Drosophila melanogaster: one gene and its partner. The protein of the gene in region 2 binds, or shares a complex with, the protein of the main gene of each other region. Each region holds a gene or a part of one and is shown on either strand. Other genes may lie near its edges. The genes, in order: CG9062 and CG6420.

Evidence for each region.
Region 1: CG6420 (region 2) and CG9062 share a complex: the UniProt entries of both Drosophila melanogaster proteins name them as parts of the usp12-46 deubiquitylase complex.

Annotation. Positions count from the first base shown.
Region 1 is NT_033778.4:11,279,935-11,289,104, forward strand, and holds CG9062 (uncharacterized protein), read right to left. Parts: upstream 4,038-9,170; 5' UTR 3,980-4,037; exon of another isoform or gene 3,917-3,979; 5' UTR 3,792-3,916; coding exon 3,750-3,791; intron 3,672-3,749; coding exon 3,452-3,671; intron 3,390-3,451; coding exon 2,395-3,389; intron 2,335-2,394; coding exon 2,230-2,334; intron 2,166-2,229; coding exon 2,026-2,165; intron 1,957-2,025; coding exon 1,761-1,956; intron 1,699-1,760; coding exon 1,504-1,698; intron 1,446-1,503; coding exon 1,340-1,445; coding exon of another isoform or gene 1,332-1,339; exon of another isoform or gene 1,217-1,331; coding exon 1,173-1,216; 3' UTR 550-1,172; downstream 1-549. Other genes in the region: Vhl (von Hippel-Lindau), read left to right, coding at 1-480; CG13220 (uncharacterized protein), read left to right, coding at 4,564-5,025; Fbl6 (F-box and leucine-rich repeat protein 6), read right to left, coding at 6,030-6,234, 6,304-6,438, 6,499-6,731, 6,785-6,952, 7,017-7,157, 7,214-7,383, 7,442-7,652, 7,711-8,610. UniProt on the Drosophila melanogaster protein: Regulatory component of the Usp12-46 deubiquitylase complex. activates deubiquitination by increasing the catalytic turnover without increasing the affinity of deubiquitinating enzymes for the substrate.
Region 2 is NT_033777.3:26,719,347-26,730,308, reverse strand, and holds CG6420 (uncharacterized protein), read left to right. Parts: upstream 1-5,092; 5' UTR 5,093-5,596; coding exon 5,597-6,142; intron 6,143-7,194; coding exon 7,195-7,383; intron 7,384-7,455; coding exon 7,456-9,390; intron 9,391-9,461; coding exon 9,462-9,521; 3' UTR 9,522-10,462; downstream 10,463-10,962. Other genes in the region: CG14246 (uncharacterized protein), read right to left, coding at 259-540; CG14245 (uncharacterized protein), read right to left, coding at 1,237-1,548; CG14244 (uncharacterized protein), read right to left, coding at 3,785-4,092, 4,156-4,168; Yif1 (Yip1-interacting factor 1), read right to left, coding at 10,709-10,942. UniProt on the Drosophila melanogaster protein: Regulatory component of the Usp12-46 deubiquitylase complex.

The DNA of each region.
Region 1 (9,170 bases), on a different chromosome or scaffold from region 2:
CAGGGAAAGGTGGAGGTGTACGTGCTGTTTGCAAACACCACCTATCGCACCCTGGATCTGTACTGGGTGTGCGAGCGGGAGCGGGAGAACATGTACCTTACCCTCAAGCCCTTCGAGGAGGTGCGGGTGAACACGTTCACCACACACAGCTGGCTGTTCCGGGATTACTACACGGGCGAACGGATGCACGTACGCTCGCAGAGGATCTTTCAGCCGATTCGGGTGCGGGTACCCAAGAGCCAGCAGAGTCCGGATCAGCTGGTTGACGTACGCAGCGAAGTGCTGATCCACTTTCCGATGAGATCGCTGCGCGAAAACTGCCTCTGGCTGGTCGCCCGCTGGCTGATCCGGACGAGCAACGCGCCACGGAGGATTATCCACGGATACCACATACCCTCGACGCTGAAGCAACAGCTGCTCAGCCTGCTGACCTGCATCGAGTCCTATTCCCGAGTGGCGGGCACGCGACGTCGGCGTTAGGAGCACACTCCTAGTTGTTAGTTAAGAGGGCGGGTAATCATCTTAGGGACTGAGAGACAGGCTTGATTTCCAAATAATTTAATAACTTTAATTGATTTCCATCCTGGTTTTCGATTTTCGCTTATTACTTATGTACAAATTGGCTTGCATAGAGCTCTTTACAAGTTGGGCTACTACCATTGCATTGATTTTTCTGTATATTTAACAGATTTCTTATACCTATGTATGTTCTATGTAAATAATTATGTATAAACCTAATGTGAAACAAGTGTGAATATTACATACATACATATATGCGCAATACTCTAGGTCTAGTTGCTTCAGATGCAAATACGATTTAATGGTATGTCTGCAGTTACTCCTTTGCAATGCTTATCTACGTGTGTCGCAAGCCTAATTGTTATAAGTCTGAATCTGAAGTACATATTTATTCCTAACGAGAAGTGAACAAACAAAAGTACTCCGGTGCACTTTTAAATTTAAAGTTAACGCTCGTACAGATTCTCCTTGAATGTGTTTGTGTTTGTCCACGAGTCGAGTCGAGAAGAGATGAGACGAATCGCAGGTTAACTCAAATATATTGCAAAATCAACTTATAAAAATATAAATTGTTAATCGATCTGCTCAATCTCGTTCTCATTCAATAATGCATCGGTACTGCTTCGGTTAGGCGGGAGATCACTTGCCAGCGTTCAATACTTGCGCGTCACGCGCTCCAAGCTATCCCCGATCGAACCTATGGGGCGGATATATATAAGCACAACTCTCGGTTAGGCAATAGCAATTGCAGAAATCAAGTATGCGTTGTGTTTGTGATAGGTGTTCTTGTGTTGTTCAATGCGTGGGCTCTCTTATTTACCATCGTAGTTGAAATTCTGTTTGGTCTTGTACTGAAACGTTAGATCGGTCGACTGCTTCCAGATAAAGTGGCGCACCGTGCGCAGGTCCATGTTGGGGTCCACAACCTTTAAAGGAAAGGCGGTGAACAAGGTCCTTTAAATGAGATTTGTCCATTTGTCTTACCACATCGTTACACCACAGTTCAATTCGTTCCTCAGCTGGCAGTTGGGATCCCTCCGAATTAGCATCGCTCTGGCTATTCTGCAGTGAATTGTTAGCATTGCCCCCACTTGGGGTAGTTTCCGCATTCAGCACCTTTTCAAGCACGTGCTCGCAGACCTTGCGACACTGAATAAATTCATTAGCCACAAGACGATCCTAAAAAATTTAATATAAATTGCGTTAGAACATGAGTTTTGTTTGCTGTCAAGGACGGCTACCTTCTTCGTTCGTTCAGGCTTGGTCATTTGCGGGTGAGGCTGCAGGAAGAACGGTATTTTGAGGAACTTGGGAATGTTCTTCTCGATCACCACGTCGGTCACCCACTGAGGCGCCGTTTCGTGGAGCAGGGTACTTTCGCTATCGCCAGCTGCGTCGCGTACCAAAAGTCGGCAAACAGTGCGGCCACCCACTTCACTGTTTAATTTAGCCAGAAATTTGAGAAATTAGTTATGGTGCAGATAAGGTTATATCACAGTCACTAACCTAAAGATGACGGGCGTGTGCTTGGGCACTTGGAAGTAGCCATTGCCGTGCATATCGGGTTCCATTTCGTTTGGTGGTATGCTATGCGGTGGTGTCCAGTACTCTAGCAGGGCTTCTAAAAGTAATTTGCCATAGTTGATCTATAAAAAAACAAAGCATTTTAAATGGCATTTAATATGTGAAGGGGTCTGATGAGCGATCAACCTTAATCTCTGTTGTGGGATCGACGCACTCCGGCAGTCCAGCTTCAATGGAAACCCAAGCGGAAAAGCAATCCACTTCCTCCTGACCCAATACAATCGTTGGCATCTGCAAAGCATAATTAAGTATAAACGAACTTAAGCTTCAATAGAGCTTAGCTTAACTCACCCCGGTTTTCAGATCAACAGTGAACCAGTTTGGAATGTAGACCTGCTTATTACGCTTCTTCACCTCCGCTTCGAAATCAACAGCGCCCAATTGCTCTTTTTTGACAACTCTCAGCACATCGTACACCACGACCTGATCTTGTGAGTCCTTGGTTATGATATAACGTTTGTCGTTCAGCACCGCGCACTCCTTGATGGCGGCTCCACCTTTTATGCAGGCCACCTCAGTGCCGCCCTGTGTCCATTGTGCGTCCATTCCGCCCGAGGAATTTAGTGTGCACCTGTCGTACATGGGCAGCTTCCAACAGCGAATGTCCGAGTTCCAGGTGGTGGCCCACACCCCAGTCTTGTCGATGTTGTAGCCCAGACTCAGCACGGGCGCCTGCTCCTCGCACACAAGCGTTTTGTTACTAGGGTTCCGCATCTCGGTCACAATGATGTTGCGATCCCGACTGCCGGAGATGATGTACTGGAAGTTCTCGCTCATCAGCAGCGACCACACGCCCTCCTTGTGCACGTGGATGGTTTGAACACAGCGCTGTTGGCCCAGGTTCCACACCTTGATCGTGCCGTCGGAACTGCCAGACACCACCTGGTTTCCATCGGGCGACACCACCAAGCAGCGCACGTTCTCCGTATGGCCTCGCAGCTTCATTCTGCGCATACAGGTGCGGGGATCCCAGATACGCAGTATATTCTCCGTGGACCCGCTCACAATCACGGTGCCCGATGGATTCATGGCCAAGCTGTAGATTGAGTCCTTGGACCCGGTTAGACTAGAGGTGGTAACCGTGTTATTGCTCGCCGTGAGCGCGGTCAGTGTGTTCACGTCCCACAGGAAGATGGCCTTGTCCAGTCCAGCGCTGGCCACCTGTTCCCGATCCTTGGCGTAGGCCAACGCCTGCACGTAGTCGCGATGGGTCCGCAGGGTGGACATGCAGAAGCCTTTCTGGGCGTTCCACACCTTCACCGTGGTATCACAGCTGGCGCTAATAACTATGAGTGCAAAAGATTGAATGTTTGAATGAATGCCTAAACTGATCGGTGGAGCAACTCACGGTTCCTGCCATTACAGCAAAGTACTATGTCGTTGACCCAGTCGTTGTGGTGCTCCATCGATTGTATGTACTTCTCGCTGGAGTCCGTCCGTGTATTCCACACACGGATTATGGCGTCGCGACCGGCGGAGTACAACTTGCCGTTATTGGCATCCAGCTGCAGAGCGTTTACGCCATTCCGGTGCTGTTTCTCCTCGGCGTCCCGTATCACGAAGGAAACCTGGCGTCCGACGGTTTAATTGAATTAGTTTGGGCTTAGGTGTCCGCTTTCCTTCCCGTTTTCAATTGGCGCACTCACCTGCATTTTCTTACGTGCCTGACAAGTTTTGTGCGTCAACATGTCGTCCACGGATCTGCTGCACTGTGGCTCTCGGCGATATCTCTGGACTGAAGTGCTTCAGGAGCTGGCGTTGGTTGTTCTCTGCTCGCGGGGCGCGCACATTTATCGACGTTGCTTTGGGGCGGCTGATATTTACTTTTTGCAAATTGAAATTGAGGAATTTCCAGGCAACTACAAATTTTTCGCACCTATTTCGCTCTCTGTCTCTCCCCATTCGGTCCTCCCACCTCTCAGGCACTCCTCCACTCATTCTCCTGCGCCGGCTGGTGTTGCCACCTGGTTGTGCACACCGTGCCGGCTGTTCAACAGAGTTGACACTTCTTGTTCAGAAAGGTGACTCGTTCCGGAACCACTAAACTTAAAAATTCGAAAATTTTTAAAAAACCAGCCAAGAAAATAACTATAACATTTGTTTTTAATTGTACATTCAGGAAATATCGGGGCTAATGTTATGCAAATACGCAAAACGCCCACTAACATGAGCGCTCCAAGCGTTAAAGCCCTTGATAACAAGTACTCTCCCTGTCAGATATGTACATTTATATATTAGGATCTCTCAGACATTGACATATTATATTGGTCAAAACATTTACATCTTTATACACATATCTACCTAGAACCAGTGATATACCATCTGCAGAGTGTCCGCGAAGACCGACATAACTTTCACATATATCGCGACCTGGCAGCCCTATTCTTTACATAACAAGAAGAAGAAGACTCGTCGACCTCACCGGGATCCAAAAACTTAATTGCATTTTCACCGATAATAATGGCCGGGACACAGTCAAAAGACGCCTGCAGCATATGCGACAAAGTGGGCCTCAAGCCCTTCACCCGGGATAATGTGTTCAACTACTACATACCGCTGCACGGCCTGGTGAGCTACGGAGCCCTTGCGGTGAATGTTATGAACCCCCAGATCGTGCCCAAAATCCTGCCCAAGAAGGACCTGACGAACGTGTTCCTCATCTCCGCGGTGGTGGGCAGTGCCTTCTACATTTACGGCAGGCCCCACCTGAAGGACGTGAAGAACAACAAGCGAGGTGCGTACGCCCTGCTGGGCGCCACCCTATTCTCCATGGGATCCGTTCTGGCCTGGGCGCTCATCAAGTCCGCCCTGCCACAGGACAATGCACTGCTGGCGACCCTGGCGGGCTTGGGAACTGGCGCCGCCATCGTGAAGGTCGGCACTGATTACATTCAGGACGTGGATAAGCTGCAGAAGAACTAGATGATCTGATCGATACGATATAGGACTGAGGTATTCGAACCCAAAAGTGGGTTCGTACTGTAATTGCTGTCTTGGCCGTACATAGCTCGTAATGCAATATTATCTCCCGCATATTTGAATAAAATTATACTATAAACCCGACTGAGCGGTGTGTTTTGCTGTGTCAAGAGATGGATAATGCCGGGTGTAGATTGAAAATGTTTGCGTTTATTTTAAATTAAATGTACCTTTAATTGCCGTCTCTTAACTGCTAGTAATGCTTAACAATTGAATTGTTTTAATTTATGTTATGTATGTGTGGTATATGCGTTACCTTTATAAATGGTTACTTCGTTTATATAAAAACATCTAATCGGAAACGCCAATATGTACATTCTTGTCGGATTAAAACATTCTACAAATTGCCTTGGCGACTTTGAATTGACGACTACTTTATGGTAAATATATTCTTTTTGTATTGCGAATTATACACTTTAAACTTATTTTTAATTCTTGTATACATACTTTACAAACGCTCAATGGTCGGACTTAACTATCAATAAATCAGTATGTATATATATATATATACCATTATATATACTAAAAAAAATCATTGAAAATCGTTGCAACGGTTGTCTTCAAAAGGAAATGATTTTCGCGCTGCAAAAAATTCGAATCAACTTAGTTATGAATACATATTGCATTTACAAAAGGTTGCTTATTCGCACAGCATCTAATGCGGGCACCTCCAGAAAAGGGAGGAACTCGCTGCTGCCGCTGTGCAGAGAATACTATGCTAGTACAGTAGTTACGCTCTAGGGCCTATAAACAAAATAAGCATTATTGGAAGATGCAAGCGATTGCAAATATGCAAATATTGCAATATGTTTGCGGACTACATTACAAAATCAACAAAGCGCTTAACGCCTTTCGCGCGAAGAGGGATGCAACAATTTAAATTACATTTAAACTTGGCCCGCCTGATCAACAATAAAACCGATGTGTGGACTTGCCCACTGACTGGATTAGTTGCTCCCGCTGCTGCTCTTCAGCTGCACCCCCAGAACCTCCCGAAGTTCGCCTAGCTCCTGCGGTCCCTGCATCAAGCGCTTGACGCCTCGCGGCAGACCACGGCACGATGCCAAGTTGATGGAGCTCATATTTTGGCAGTTCGTCAGTATTTCCTTTACCGCCTCATCGGAAACAGAGGAGCCGCATAGATTCAAATGACTGCAGGGGAGAAATAAATTATAATATATATTAGCACACAATAGATACATTAGTTCAATATATACTCACGCCAACGGCGAATCTCTGCCCTTTTCCGCTAGGGCGCGCAACGCATTATCAATGGGCTGCTGCATATTCGCCCAAGCCAAATCCAGTTCTATGAGACTGTGCGCCCACTTTGAGGCAATGAGTTCCAGACCCGACCTACGTTGGGAAAACTTTTGATTAGTCTGCGTTCTGCATAACAATGCTAATTAGACCCACCCCATATCTCGTGTGACTGAGCAACCTGACAGGAATAAATGCTTGATATCCCAGGCAGGTAAGCGGATTAGGCTCTCGTGCGTCAGTCGTGTACAGTTGCGTACGTCCAGTAGCTTTAGCTTGGAGCTGCTCTTAAGGATGCGCTGCAGATGGTCGTCGCTTATGATGCGGGATTCATCTGTTAAGGCAGCCACGGACAGTTCTTCAAGTTCCGGAAAACCAGGTGAGTCCATCTGCAAAAGCTTTCTTTTAAAACATAGTTCGAACATTGAAATGCGAATCTTACAATTTCCTGCATTGATGCCGTGCTTGGCGTTATATGAGAGTTTGTCACACGCAGGACCTTTAGCTTCTGGCAGCCACGCTGCAACTTCTCAATGTGGAGTACACCGTGTGATGTGGCCTGCGTGGTCACGTTCGAGAGATCCAATAATGTTAGATTCGGACAGTGCGTCTGCAATATGAAAAAGAAGCCCATAAGTCATAGGAAATAAGTTGTAAAAGCGTTGTGAACTCACCGAAAGAATTCCGACTATTTGTGGTATTCCTGCCAGACGATTGTGCGCCAAATAGAGATGTGTTAGACGGCTGCCCATGGTCTGGAGTGCATTGCATAGGGAGTTGACACCCACGGCGCTCTTGCTGGCATTCATCTCAACCTGTGCGATACAAATTTGAATCAGATATAGCTTCGCAAACACATGCCACAACATACATTGATGGAACTTAAGTCCAAGCGCTGCAACTTGTGCATGTTATCCACCAAATACGTAAGATGATCCGAAGTGAAACCTTTCCAGCCGGAGAGCGTAATGCCTGCAAGGTTCGGGCACCCGCTTGACAATTTGGCAAGGAAGCAATTTATGTCTGATATTTTCCAATTGGCTGAAAGGAGATATTTTAAAATTAAATTATAGTCTCAAGACCATACTTCTCAACTTACAAACATTCAAGTCTGTACAGGCACTGCAGCGGTTGTCGACAAACCACTTGAGCTTGAGTTCGGTGCGATATTTCTCTTTGACCCATGTGGTAAGATCCATAGTGCGCCACAGAGTAGGCCTAAGAGACACCTGCCGCCAGAGCGAGCAAACTCTGCCAAGGCGAAACAGGGTGGGCAGACAGCCCTGTGTATCCACAGCATGCTCAAAGATCTGTAAGATGAATTCATATTACGAACACCATTTATATGCTGCTTGGTTTAATTCTCACTCTGAATAGGACTTCCTCGGGCAGCTTTTGAGCCCAGACACTCTGCTCGACTGGATCGCCAGCCGCCTCCGCAGCATCCGGACTCGTTGAAACCTTCTTTTCGCCGCCACTACCACCTCCTCCGCCTTTTTTCTTGCGCGGCTCATACTCGGCCTCATCGCTGTCCTGTTGCTTTGGTTTACGGACGCGCTTGCGCACAGTTTTTGTTGCTGCGGGAACTGCAACTGGCGGAGATGTGACACCAGCAGGTGCGCCTTCTCCGGCATCAGATTTCTTGATGCACAGTCGGATACCCATCTTGTTGTCGCTGATTTCGCTTTCGTACATGGGCAGCGCCTTGGTTTTGCGGCATCTGGATGCACGTGGTGACGTAGTGGCCGCTTTGCTGGTCTTCTTGCCGCTGAGCGCTGTGGAGAGTGGTTTCCCCGACTTTGGTACGGAGCCATTGACCGGCGCCGGCGTGGCCTGTGCCTGTACCTGTGGCGGTGGTGCCGATGACTGTTGATCCGCCGCCGGCGACCGCTGACCGTCAGAGGCTGGGGAGCAGGACGTCGATGTTGCCGTGTTAGTCTCATCGGTTTGAGTTTCTGACTTGGGCGGGGACAGGATGTTCTCCGGAATGACGGCCGTGCTTCCCGATGTGGCAGTTTCGACGGCCAGCAGTTGTGGCGGGGTTTGTGAGGGCGTCGAGGGAGTGAGTGTGTTTATATCCACCGTGGCAGATTTCTCCTTATCCAACAATTCACTCTGCTCCGGCTGCTGACCACCAGTGTCATCTGCCTCCACTTCCATAGCCGTTTCCGCCGAATCTTTGGCGGTGGACACTTCAGCTTTCTCTTTTACACCATCATCATCGGACACTTTGGTCTCCTCCACTTGAGAAGATAGAGATTCGCTCATCACTCTACTCGCTCTTCTGCAATTGGAAAAGAGTGCAACCGTTACTATGTACCTGCTTCTCAATGGAGTATTACTGGTTCCGTTATATTTCTAATATTATCTTTAAATAAGCTAAGATTAGTTCGTTTTAACACTTTCAATTGCACTGTGTACTGTTAATGTTCCACGCGTACTTCAATAGTCAAGGAACAAGCGAACAAAAACATTTATTAATGAGCATGATAGTTGCACTTTAACTATTTATTATACCGATATAGGGGTTTTAAGAATCGTCTGTATTTTACTTTTAAAAGTATAATATCAATACACTTGCCAAGATGCCAAGTTGTTTATTATGTATTTATTTTAACTATTCCGAAAAATTCATAATCGGTTAAAAAAACACAATTTTAAATTTTTTCATTCCGGCCGGGAAAATCGATGCAAAAAGAACTCAACCCATTTTGGCGGTTTTTCACGGTTTCCCATTCGCCCCCGTTCTTAATACGAAGAACTCTCTCCTCTCCGAATTCGTAAATCTCACCTGCTACAACAAATTACATATATATTTTTGTTTTTAT
Region 2 (10,962 bases):
TTTCGGCGGCATCGAAAAACAACAGCAAATCCCCGCCAGCATCAACATGGGAGGCGGCCACCCGAAAGCGGCTTATGTCCTGGCCCCACCACCAACACCACCACCATCACTATCACCAGCACCACCTCCACGCCCATGTCCTTGGAGCAGCAGGGCGCGCATAAATTAACCAGCACTCAACCGGGAAAAATCGAAAAGCGCTTTTTAATTATATTTTCGACAATTTGTTTCAATACATGCGAACGCGCGCGTCCTGTTTTATTTGCGCGGCTTTGTGGGCGGATCCTGCGGTTCGGTCCACTGCCAGTGCTTCCACTTTACGCACCGCCGCTCCCGGTCGTAGAACAGCTCGTTGGCCGGGCAACGCTGCAGCTGGGCGGGTCGTTCCCGTTCCCAATCCCTATCCCGCTCCCGCTCCTCCTCCATTGATTTTCCGCCGCACTGCCAGTAGGCGGTGGGATCCCAGAAATGCCGGTAGCTCTGGCCCAGTTCCTCGGCACTGCGACAGCCTGGCTCTCCGTTGTAGTCCCGACCGGACATGGCTGAAAGTGAGAGGACACGAATTTAAGGACATTCAATTTTGGCTATCAAACACGGATATATTAAAGTCATTTCCTTTGGGCCCAAATAATTTAGTCCCAACAGTTGTGTAACTCAATATAGTTGAAGCTGCGTAGTTGTACATAAATAAATGTATTTTTAACAATATTTTACAGCCTTGTAAAAGCGCATTTAAAAAGTTCGCGATGTAAGTATGATTTTTTTGCACTCGTAGCATACGCAAATATTTTTTAAAATAAACTATTTATTGTCAACAAACAAACAGAAAAGTGCGGCGACAAATGTGTTTACGTTGTTTTAAGTGCTTTAGTTTAATGCCCGCAAAAACACAGTTAACCATTAAGCTAAAAGAGTTTATAAATTTTCTTTATTTTTTTTTTGTGAATTAAGTGCTTAAGAAAAATTTCCATTATTTATCTGACTGATTAATCGTGCCCTGACGTTACAGCAAAAATATTTATTTGTGCAAAGTCTTTGTGCTTATCTCACATGCGCTCAGTTACTAAGTTATTTATCAAAGATATTTACTAAATATTTACTTTTACTAGAGATTGCTAGCTTACTTCATTTCTCCTTCATTTCTTTGATTTTTGAATGCATGACAAGGAAATATTAAAAGAAAATAGTTAATATTACTGCATATTTGTTTTATTTTGTTATGTCAAATCTCCAATTCTATGCAGCAACTTCGGGTTGGCTGGGCGGCTGGACAGTGGGCGACCACACCCACTGGGGCCAGGGAACACAGGCCTTGGCGGAGTCCAACCAGGCGGAGGCAATGGGGCACTGGGCGAGGGTGGCGGGAACGCCCTGGGTGGAGCACACCCAGTAGGAGCTCTTCAGGTAGAAGTGGGCATAGAATGCCACCTCCAGCTCCTCGGCCGTTTGGCAACCGGGTTGACCAGTGGGCTTGGCCACAGCAGCTCCGCTGCAGAAGGAGGAGTAGCCGAGGATTAGGAAAAAGGCGAACAGAGGCAGGAACTTCATCTTGAACTAGGGGTGGCTTTCGTTGGACTGACCTATGCTAATCGGTGGCGAGCTTTTTATACACTCCACGAATAGCCGAAATCTTATCGAGCGGAACTGAGGTGTGATGCTGTCTGTGGTCGCGATAAGCTCATCTAGTATTTCCTGCCACCCCCCAGCAACCCACTCTGTTTTCGCATTTTATAGCGCTGTTTGTTTGCCCGATTGCTGTTTCTTCCGCTCGAGCCGAGCTGGATAGGAGCTGGCCAGTTGGGTCCAGGTGGGTACCCATCCCGGTCGGCCTGCTTGCATATTCATGACATCAACGGCAGCTGTAAATTATTTTCAGAGATAGCCGAGGCAGGCCGCAAACAAGCGGAGTAGCAACGATGTTGCCTCGGCTGGATACGCTGGCTAATTAATTCAAAACACTGCCTCAAAGGCATTTTTGGGGCTGGGCCAACAAATTTCACCTGGCTGCGCGGTGGGAGGAGGAGTACGCCTTAAGCCACACAACGTCCTTCGTCCTCCTGGCGCACTTGAGTAATTGCCCCAGTGCACTGCACAGTGCAGTCGGAGTCGGGAGTTGGGAAAAGGCCTCCTTGGCCTTTGTTGCTCAGTTTTGCGGATTGGGCTTTTGTTAGTTTTGGGCCATAAATTAAATCGGGTTATTAATGTCTGCCATTAAGTGAAGCCACCGGGAGGAACGGCACTTGGCTGGCTGCAAAATGCCCACTTCCTGCCGCCGTTGTCCTTGCCACAGTGATTTATGCTAATTCGTGTGGCATTTGTAGCATTTCCCCGAGTATTTTCAGATTTTCAAAGACAAGGCCATTATTTTAGACAGCGCAGGTAGGGCTCACCGTTCACTGATTTAAAATTCATTCGACCACTCCGAAATGCCGAAACCCAATTATGTGACGCACTTTTTTGTTCACTCTCGTCTCACTTTTAAAAACATACTTGCAGCGGTATTAAACGGAATGGAAAACAAAGAGGCAGAAATGCAATTAAATATATTGCGTATACGTCACGTATGCTAAAATTTCATTTCACAATTTTTATACCTCTCCCTTTGATTCACGCTGCTGCCTCTTCGTTTCGCCGTTTGGCTGGCGGAAAATTCTTTTACATGCAAATATTTTGTTGGCACTCGCACGCACGTCGCCCCGAAAGCGAGAAATAAAAATTCAATTGAATGGTATTTTTTCGCCGCTTATTGATGTGCTCGGGGGCCTGACAAAGCGTTTGACTGACAACTGTGAAATGAAATAAAATTCTCGCACCAACTACATGGGCGAGTGCATCAAAAATAGTGCAACTTATTGCCAGGCAGCCAGGGAGCAAAGGGATCGGCTCGATGGCGGTTGCGCCCACATATTGATTTATGACAAATGCCCACCGAAAAGGGGGCGTGGCCCGTCAGTCAAGACCGCTTAACTGGCGTCAGAAGCCGCGCGTTAACAATGGCAACCGTAATTGCAACTGGCCATCGGCGGATCATCATCACACGGCTGGCATAAAAATACCCAATGCAATACCCAAATCTCCGCCATCCGGGACACTGAGAGAAAAGAGTGTGCCTGTTAATATGATTCATTGAGATATCATCATCGAGACTCGCACTGAGATATGCGACTTATCGCTCTCGCGGATCGTGCTCTTGACATTGGCCAGATAAGATGACGGGGGAAACTTGGGGACATGGAGACGTATTGCCTCAAACATTTTTGGCACCCATCTCGATGCATTCTTCATTAGCTTTGGATGCTCTTCAAAGGCATTACTAGAAATAATTGGTTTATTCTCGGCATTACAACAGCTTCATGATATTTCTGTCACTTGTAATGAAAAATAAATAAATAGATTATCAAGTTCCTATCTACTTAAATTTGGCTTACCTATATTTTCGTTATTATTTGCTTAAATTATGTTAAAGAGCGTGACATATTGTTTAATCTTTGCAGTGAAAAAAACCTCCTGAATTCTGCAAACGGATATTGTTATACAAATCTAATAAATTAGCATGTATTTAATATAGTTTTTCTATACTGAAATGCAAATTATACGTGTTAATTTCCCTTTTTTTTTATGCTTTTTATTATACCCAACACAACAATTTTTTAATTGTAATAAAGAAGAGTAAGGAAATTTTCATTTATCAGAGAAATGACCAAAATTTAAACTGTGAAACATAATTTTTAGTTTAAGCCTAAATCCATTATTGTGGCCAAGCAACACGGACTTGCTCACTCTTTTAGCATCCACTCCATCCAGGAGGACGACTGGGCGGCTCCTGGCATGGCTTCCACTCCCAGGCGGTCCATGGCACACAGGCGTTGAGGTCCTGATCGAATCCGGTGTTGGGCTGGCACTTATGAAGGTGCGCCTGCGAGTTGATGGCGCTGCAGAGCCAGTACTTGGTGGGGTCCAAACAATAACGCTGGGGGATTTGCAGCTCCGCCGGGTGGAGGCATCCCGGCTCAGTGGAGTCGTTGCACATCGAGCGGATTCCGGACGGAAGCAGGAGCAGCACAAGGCAGCATGCCAGTGACCAGGAAAAAGCTAATCGGATATAATCAGCTTTAGTCCTTCGAATTGCGACGAATAGCGAGGGCATATACTCACCTTGCGGATGCATGGTTTTAGTGAAAGTGGTTAATTTTCCTGCTGTTGCAGATGGTTTTTATACAAGCAGTCCGGCCCCTCAAGTGGCCATTCTTATCAATCGCTCTTGATTGATTCGAGTTCGATGCGCTGCTCGAGGTCGTCGCTTGTTTGCCCATCCCACTTGGTCGGACTAAGCTGATGGGGGGGGGGGGGGGTGGAATTCCTAGGGTGACAATGCCAAGACAAAAGACATGTGTCCCAAACGAGATTTAGCTGGGAACTTCAATGCAATTGGCAGTGCAAAGTAACGAGAAAATGGGAGCAAGTAAAAGGCGGAAGGGCAGCAAAACAGCAGCTTCATTCTTCTTCTTCTTCACTGGCCAATTTCGCAGGACATGCCAAATGCATTTCCGGCTAACACCACACACACACTACCAGTGGCTGGAATAACGCAAGTCACTGTCATTGGTTTCTGTCGAATGTTGTTTATTTTGTTGGTTGTCCATTGATAAACCAAAAAAAATGAATACTGGAAAAGTTCAAAAAGGAAAAAGGAATCATAAAATGGACTTACAAAATAACCAAAGTTAGGTTATATAACTAAAAACTTTAACATTAAAGTTAGAACTTTATTATTTTCATATTTTTCATAAAAAAAAATGGAATTTATGAATATCATGAAATTCAAATTACGCGCCAAGCGTTTTAATGCTGCCCATTATTAAAAATATTGGCATCATTGATTGCAAACTATTTTGGACAGTCTGGCTGCCTTCACTGGAAATATTTTGTTTCAATGATAATGCTCGTAAATATTTTATACATAAGATGCTAAATCTTTAAGTGCACTTGTCTTAAGAAAGTAATAACAAAAGCAATTTATATATTTCGGCCTTAAATCGTTAAGAGTGACCAGTCTTTGGAGCGTTGTAAATCCAGCTCTTCGAACATCGAACAGTATCGACGGAAAGTATCGACGTTTTCTCACATCGCTAAGCCCAATCAGAAATTAGAAATAAATTAAGTAATTTGTGCGGAATAAAAGCAAGCGTGCGGCCGATGCGATAACCGCGATCCCCGTCACCCTTACCCCGCCGCCACCACGCCGTGATGCAGGCAACCAGCGCAGTGGCCGGAAAACTCGGAAAACTTGGCGAACGCAGCTGCAACGGCAGAAACAACAACAGTGCAAGCACAGCCCCACGAAACTCGGTGTAGTGAAGGAATTAAATCTAATTATAAGAAGAAAACAAGTGAAGGGCAAGCCCAACCCCGCGGCGCTTAATTAGCGGCGACAGCCAGCGATTTTCGTGGCTGGGTAGGAGCAACTGCAGCGCCCGCAGAGCCACCACTAGCACCACTGGCACCTGGCATTCACATGGGCTGAGTGCCGAGTGGATCGGTGGATCGGCGAAGGCGCAGCAGCAGCAGAGGAGCAGAAGCGGGAGCCGCACCAGCGATGGCCAACCAACTGGACGCCAGTGTGAAGGACGACCTGAAGACGCAGTTCGTCACCCGCGAGGGCACCTACCGCCTGCTGACCCTCTCGGAATACTCGCGGCCCAACCGGGTGGGCTACAGCAGCAACCAGAGCTCGCCGCAGGTGCGCGTCTCCATGGTGACCCTGCCCAGTCCGGCGCAGGGCAAGCTCGGCTCGGATGTGGGCGTGGGCACACCTGTGGGCGGCGGAACAGCAGGAGCCAACACCACCACAACGAATGGCAGCTCGCCGGGAGCGTCGCCTACGGGAGCAGCCGGAGCCAGCACAGCAATATCGAATGGAGGCGCTGGCGGTGACTATAGCCACAGCAACCACAACAGCAACAGTGCCGGAAACAACACTGTGGAGGCGCGTCTGGGCGGCGGCATATCCATGCACTCCATGATGAACGGCGGCGTCGTCGACCAGAATGGCGTGGCCACCAATCAGGTCCTAGGAGGCGATCGCATATGCTTCAACTTCGGACGAGATCTCTACGTTTACTCCTTTCGCGGAGCCAAGAAGGTAAACATTGTCGGCCAGAGATAGTCTCCATGCGCAAGCACGTGCGATGGAGGAGAAATGGTGCAGGTGGCGGTGCAGCGAGCTTATCACACCAGAGATAGAATAGAGGCTGCCGGCAATTGCATTCCAGGCGGATTGCACCAGCCAATTGGCGAGGGCCTAAAATACCTTGCCATTTGCATGCAGTGTCCCCCCAGTGTGCTTAATTTGCTCCACTTCGAGCGCTTGATGATCAATTCGCTTGTTTGGCGTTTTTATGAATGTTTATTGCGCTCGAAGGCAGTCGGTTGTGAGCGGTTTCAGCTCATCCCTGCGCGCGGATTACCCTAACTTTTGTTTGCACCTGCTGTAGTCAACGAACATTCCGATAGAGTAATCCTGGTGCGGCTTTCGACCATCCGAATTGCTCATCGCGTCGCTTGTGTTTGCCCTGTTTCCCCTGCCCAGCAGCTGTTTCTAATTCTTTGGCATTCTGTGCGGCAACAGCTTGCGATTCTCCTTATGTATTTGCTTTAGCTGGCTTCTTTGTTGCCATAGTTATCTGCTGGCGAGAACTTGGCAAGGCTTGCATAGAGCTTTTCCCACCTGATTCCGCCAACAAGCTGTTAATTTCCACTCCGCTTTCCGAATGTGTTAATTTCCAATCTTATTTCAACCCACTGAACGTATTCTTCCATTCCAAACTTGGCTCAAACGAAATTATTTGAGCCTGTTCCGCTTTGCCATTTGACTTTCACTGCATTCATATTCTTAATCTTGAAAATTATTCTATGATGATGACTTATATTTCAGTGATTTGTTTATACAAGCTCTCATCCAATAGCATCTTGTTGCACAAAGCATCGAGCTTATGATATCAATAGGGTGGACAGCTTATAAACATTTCCATCTTGGTCACAAGATATTATATAAACTTGGCTTCCATTCAGTGAACGTTTTATTTCAAAGAGTTTCTTGCCTCTTTAGGTTTACAATAGGAAAACGTAACGCAATTCAGAACGACTAAGATAAATATAAACAGATGATAGTGACTCTTGTTGACTTACTTTCAGGGCACGGAGATGAGCAAGCCGATCGATAAGAAGTTCTACAAGGGCACCAATCCCAGCTGCCACGACTTCAACATAAGCTCGGCCACGCCCACGGGAGCGCCCCTTCTGGTGGGCTTCACCACAGGTCAAATCCAGCTGGTCTCCCCGCACGTTGGTCCTCGGGAAGTGAGGAAGCTCTTCAACGAGGAGGTGAGTGTTCCACCTGAGATATATATATATATAGCCCTTCAAAGCAAACTGATTATTATGTGTGTTTTTCAGCGACTGATCGACAAGACCAAAGTGACCTGCCTAAAGTGGCTACCCAACTCACCGCACCTGTTCCTCGCCGCCCACGCCTCAGGTCACCTGTACCTGTACAACGAGGAACTACCCTGCGCCGCCACAGCGCCCAGCTATCAGCCCTTCAAGCTTGGCGACGGCTACACGATACTCACCAGCAAGTCCAAGACCACAAGGAACCCGCTCTTCAAGTGGGTCTTCAGCACCGACAACTGCTGCGTCAATGAGTTCTGCTTCTCGCCTTGCGGATCTCACTTGGCGGTGGTTTCCCAGGACGGTTTCCTGCGCGTCTTTCACTACGACACCATGGAGCTGCTCGGAATCGCACGCTCCTACTTTGGCGGCTTCCTCTGCGTGTGCTGGTCCCCTGACGGCAAGTACATTGTCGTGGGTGGCGAGGATGACCTGGTGACTGTGTGGTCGCTCCACGAGCGACGTGTAGTGGCTCGCGGACAGGGCCATCGGTCCTGGGTCTCTGTGGTAGCGTTTGACCCGTATACCACCTCGTACACAAACTGGGATGGCGGCGACTTCAGCGACGATGAGAATCAAATGAACGAGTACTCCCATTCGCGAGAGGCGCGCTTCTCCGGAGATTCCACGGCCAACGGTGGCTTCGAGGGTTTCGACCGAAACTCCACACCCGTTCACGCTGACCGCAACGGACCACACTCGGCCTCCTTTCGCTCGGACGCTTCTTCGGCCGAAAAGCTAATGAGTTATAGACTTGGCTCCGTCAGTCAGGATACCCAGATCTGCCTATGGGACATCACGGAGGACGTTCTACGCCACCCATTGGTGTTAAGGCAGCCCGCTAACAGTGAAAGGGCCTATCTCAACGGTGGTGTCGACGAAGAAGCGGAAGCAGAAGACGGCATAAAGGTAATCCGACCAGTGGCCATGTCTGGTCAAGCGACTGGACAGCAAGCGGAATCGGGCAGCTGTAGTCCAACACGGGAAGCAGCGGGCGGAGGCACAGGGAACGGTGCTGGCGAGCACAGCAATAGCAGTTCCAGCAAGTTCTCAACCGCCAACTGCACGATATCCTCGCAATCCTCGCCCGACGACTGCGACACCGAGGCAGCCACTCCCGCCTCAACTTCATCGAATGCGGGCGCAGGCTCGGTGGCTGGAGCGGGAGCGGTGGCCTCAACGAAGCAGAACAACCGCAACCATGGCACTGGCAACTCAATCAAATTCCCCAACTGCATCAGCGCCACCAAGTCAGACAGCATTGACGGAGGCGGCGGCAGCGGGAGTGGACAGAGGCCGTCGCAGACTACATCGGGATACAACAGCAAGACTTCCAACAGCTCGAACAAGTCCTCCAACTCGGGCAGCGGCTTCAGCGCCTTCAACAGCCTCACGCAGCGTCTCTCGAACTTCAGTTTCCTGAGCAGCTCGGAAAAGAAGGGCGCTGGCTATGAGGGAAGCCATTCCACCGCGCACCGTCAGCACCGCAAGGCAATGAGCATGCTGAAGAGCTACAACCAACACAACCACACTGGCGGACACAACAACCACAGCCAGAGTAACAACAGCAGCTCCTCCAACTTTGGCCACTCGAGCACTCTGGATTCGAATGCAGCCGGGGCCATTGGCAGCAGCTCGACGGCGCATAGTTTCGGATCACTGAAACTGAGCCGGTCCTCGCACCACTCCTCATTGGCCACAGCCGCCCATGCGTCGGGATCTGCAGCGGGCTCTGGCTCCGGTGTCAGCAGCTTCGATCCCATGCAGCTTATCGGAACTCCTGCCTGCCCCCGTTTCGATGAGTGCCCACTGCTGGAGCCGCTGGTCTGCAAGAAGATCGCCCACGAGCGGCTGACGGCGCTGATCTTTCGCGAGGACTGCTTCCTGACGGCGTGCCAGGATGGATTCATCTACACCTGGGCGCGGCCAGGTCATGCCACGGTGAGTGCGACACCTTGATTCTATAGACTCGAAGCGGGCAATATTTTTAATGATATACCCTTCTTTGACAGCACGCCACTCAGCACTTGTCACCTGGACAGGCGGCGGCGCCCGGCGGGACGGTAATTTAGTTCAATAAAGTGGACTTGGTCAACTATCAGCGTAATCTTGTCAAGCAGCAGGAGCAGGAGCAGCAACAGAAGCAGTCGGTGATCTAGGTTAAAGCTAGGCGATTGATTTCGGTAATTTATTGATAGGAGCAAGAGTTTTAAAGGTTTTATGTTGCGTATTTTGTATTCCAAATGTAGCCTAAATGAGTTTATGAACCACACACGACACACCGTACACCCGTAATATATATACATATATACATATATGTATATATACGATATATAGCTATGTAAAACATAACTACGATCTATATACGCAGCATCATCAGGCAACAGAACAAACGTATATGTTTAATCTAAATTATTAGTTGTAAATGTATTATTTTTTTAGTACGTGGAATTTGTTGAAAACAAAGCAAAGCATGTTTATAACTATTTACTAAGTGCTAGCCTACACTACACACGATAAATAAAGCAAAAGAACGAAGAAGTGAACTGCATTAGCGAACTAAAATAAACAGAATCAAATAGAGGAATGGAGTGGAAGGGAATGAGAAGTGGACGTCTTTACACATCGTGCTATGTACTGAGTTGCGGTCGAGGCCCCAAACTAACCAACGACGAACTATCTAACTATGTAAACTCACGAACTAACCTAAAGTAGGAACTGTTATCATTACTAATACTATGGATTCGTATGCCTTTTATTTTTTGATGCAAGCCGCCGAGTGCAACGTTTTAGCATGCAGACGACAACCGAACAAATTAGACTAAATGCAGACAGGAACCGGAAATCGGTGATCGGAAATTTGAAATCTGAAACCCGAACCAACACAGCAACAAACATTTCACACATATATTTTATAACGAGCCAGGAGAAACAACAGTCGGCACCTTGCGATGTTAGCCAATAAGTTAACAATGAGCCGAGCAAGCAAAACCAACCAAGAACACGTTACAGTAAAAAAAGACTAAAATTTCAATAAAATTATATAAAAAATTAGTTTTCATAGCTGGTATTTATTTATAAAATGTGTTTGTTTCTAACAAAAATATGCTTCTCTCGCTCGAGTCTCAAATGAGACAACCACAAACTTCATGCTGGAAAACACAATGCCTAGGCTCTGTGGAATCGTTCGACATGTGAGTGGCCACCCTGGCCACGATTAACTCAAGGAGTATGCAAATTAACCTATCAAGCCTGTGGGTTAGAAGGTCTTGGGCACCGTCAGCACCTCCGCCTCGGGCAGATACAGGTGCTTGGAGAGCAGGAAGGCGAACAGCGCCTGTCCCGCGACGATCATGAACAGGAAGTAGAGTTTGCGCTTTTTCCCGCCGCTGTAGTCAAATTGCTGTGGATTGCCATACGGATCGTAGTTGATGGCTCCACTGGGCGCAGCCGGGGAGTTGTCCTGCAGCAGTTTCGTCCGCAACGTGCGGAGCTACAATGAAGGTAAGATTA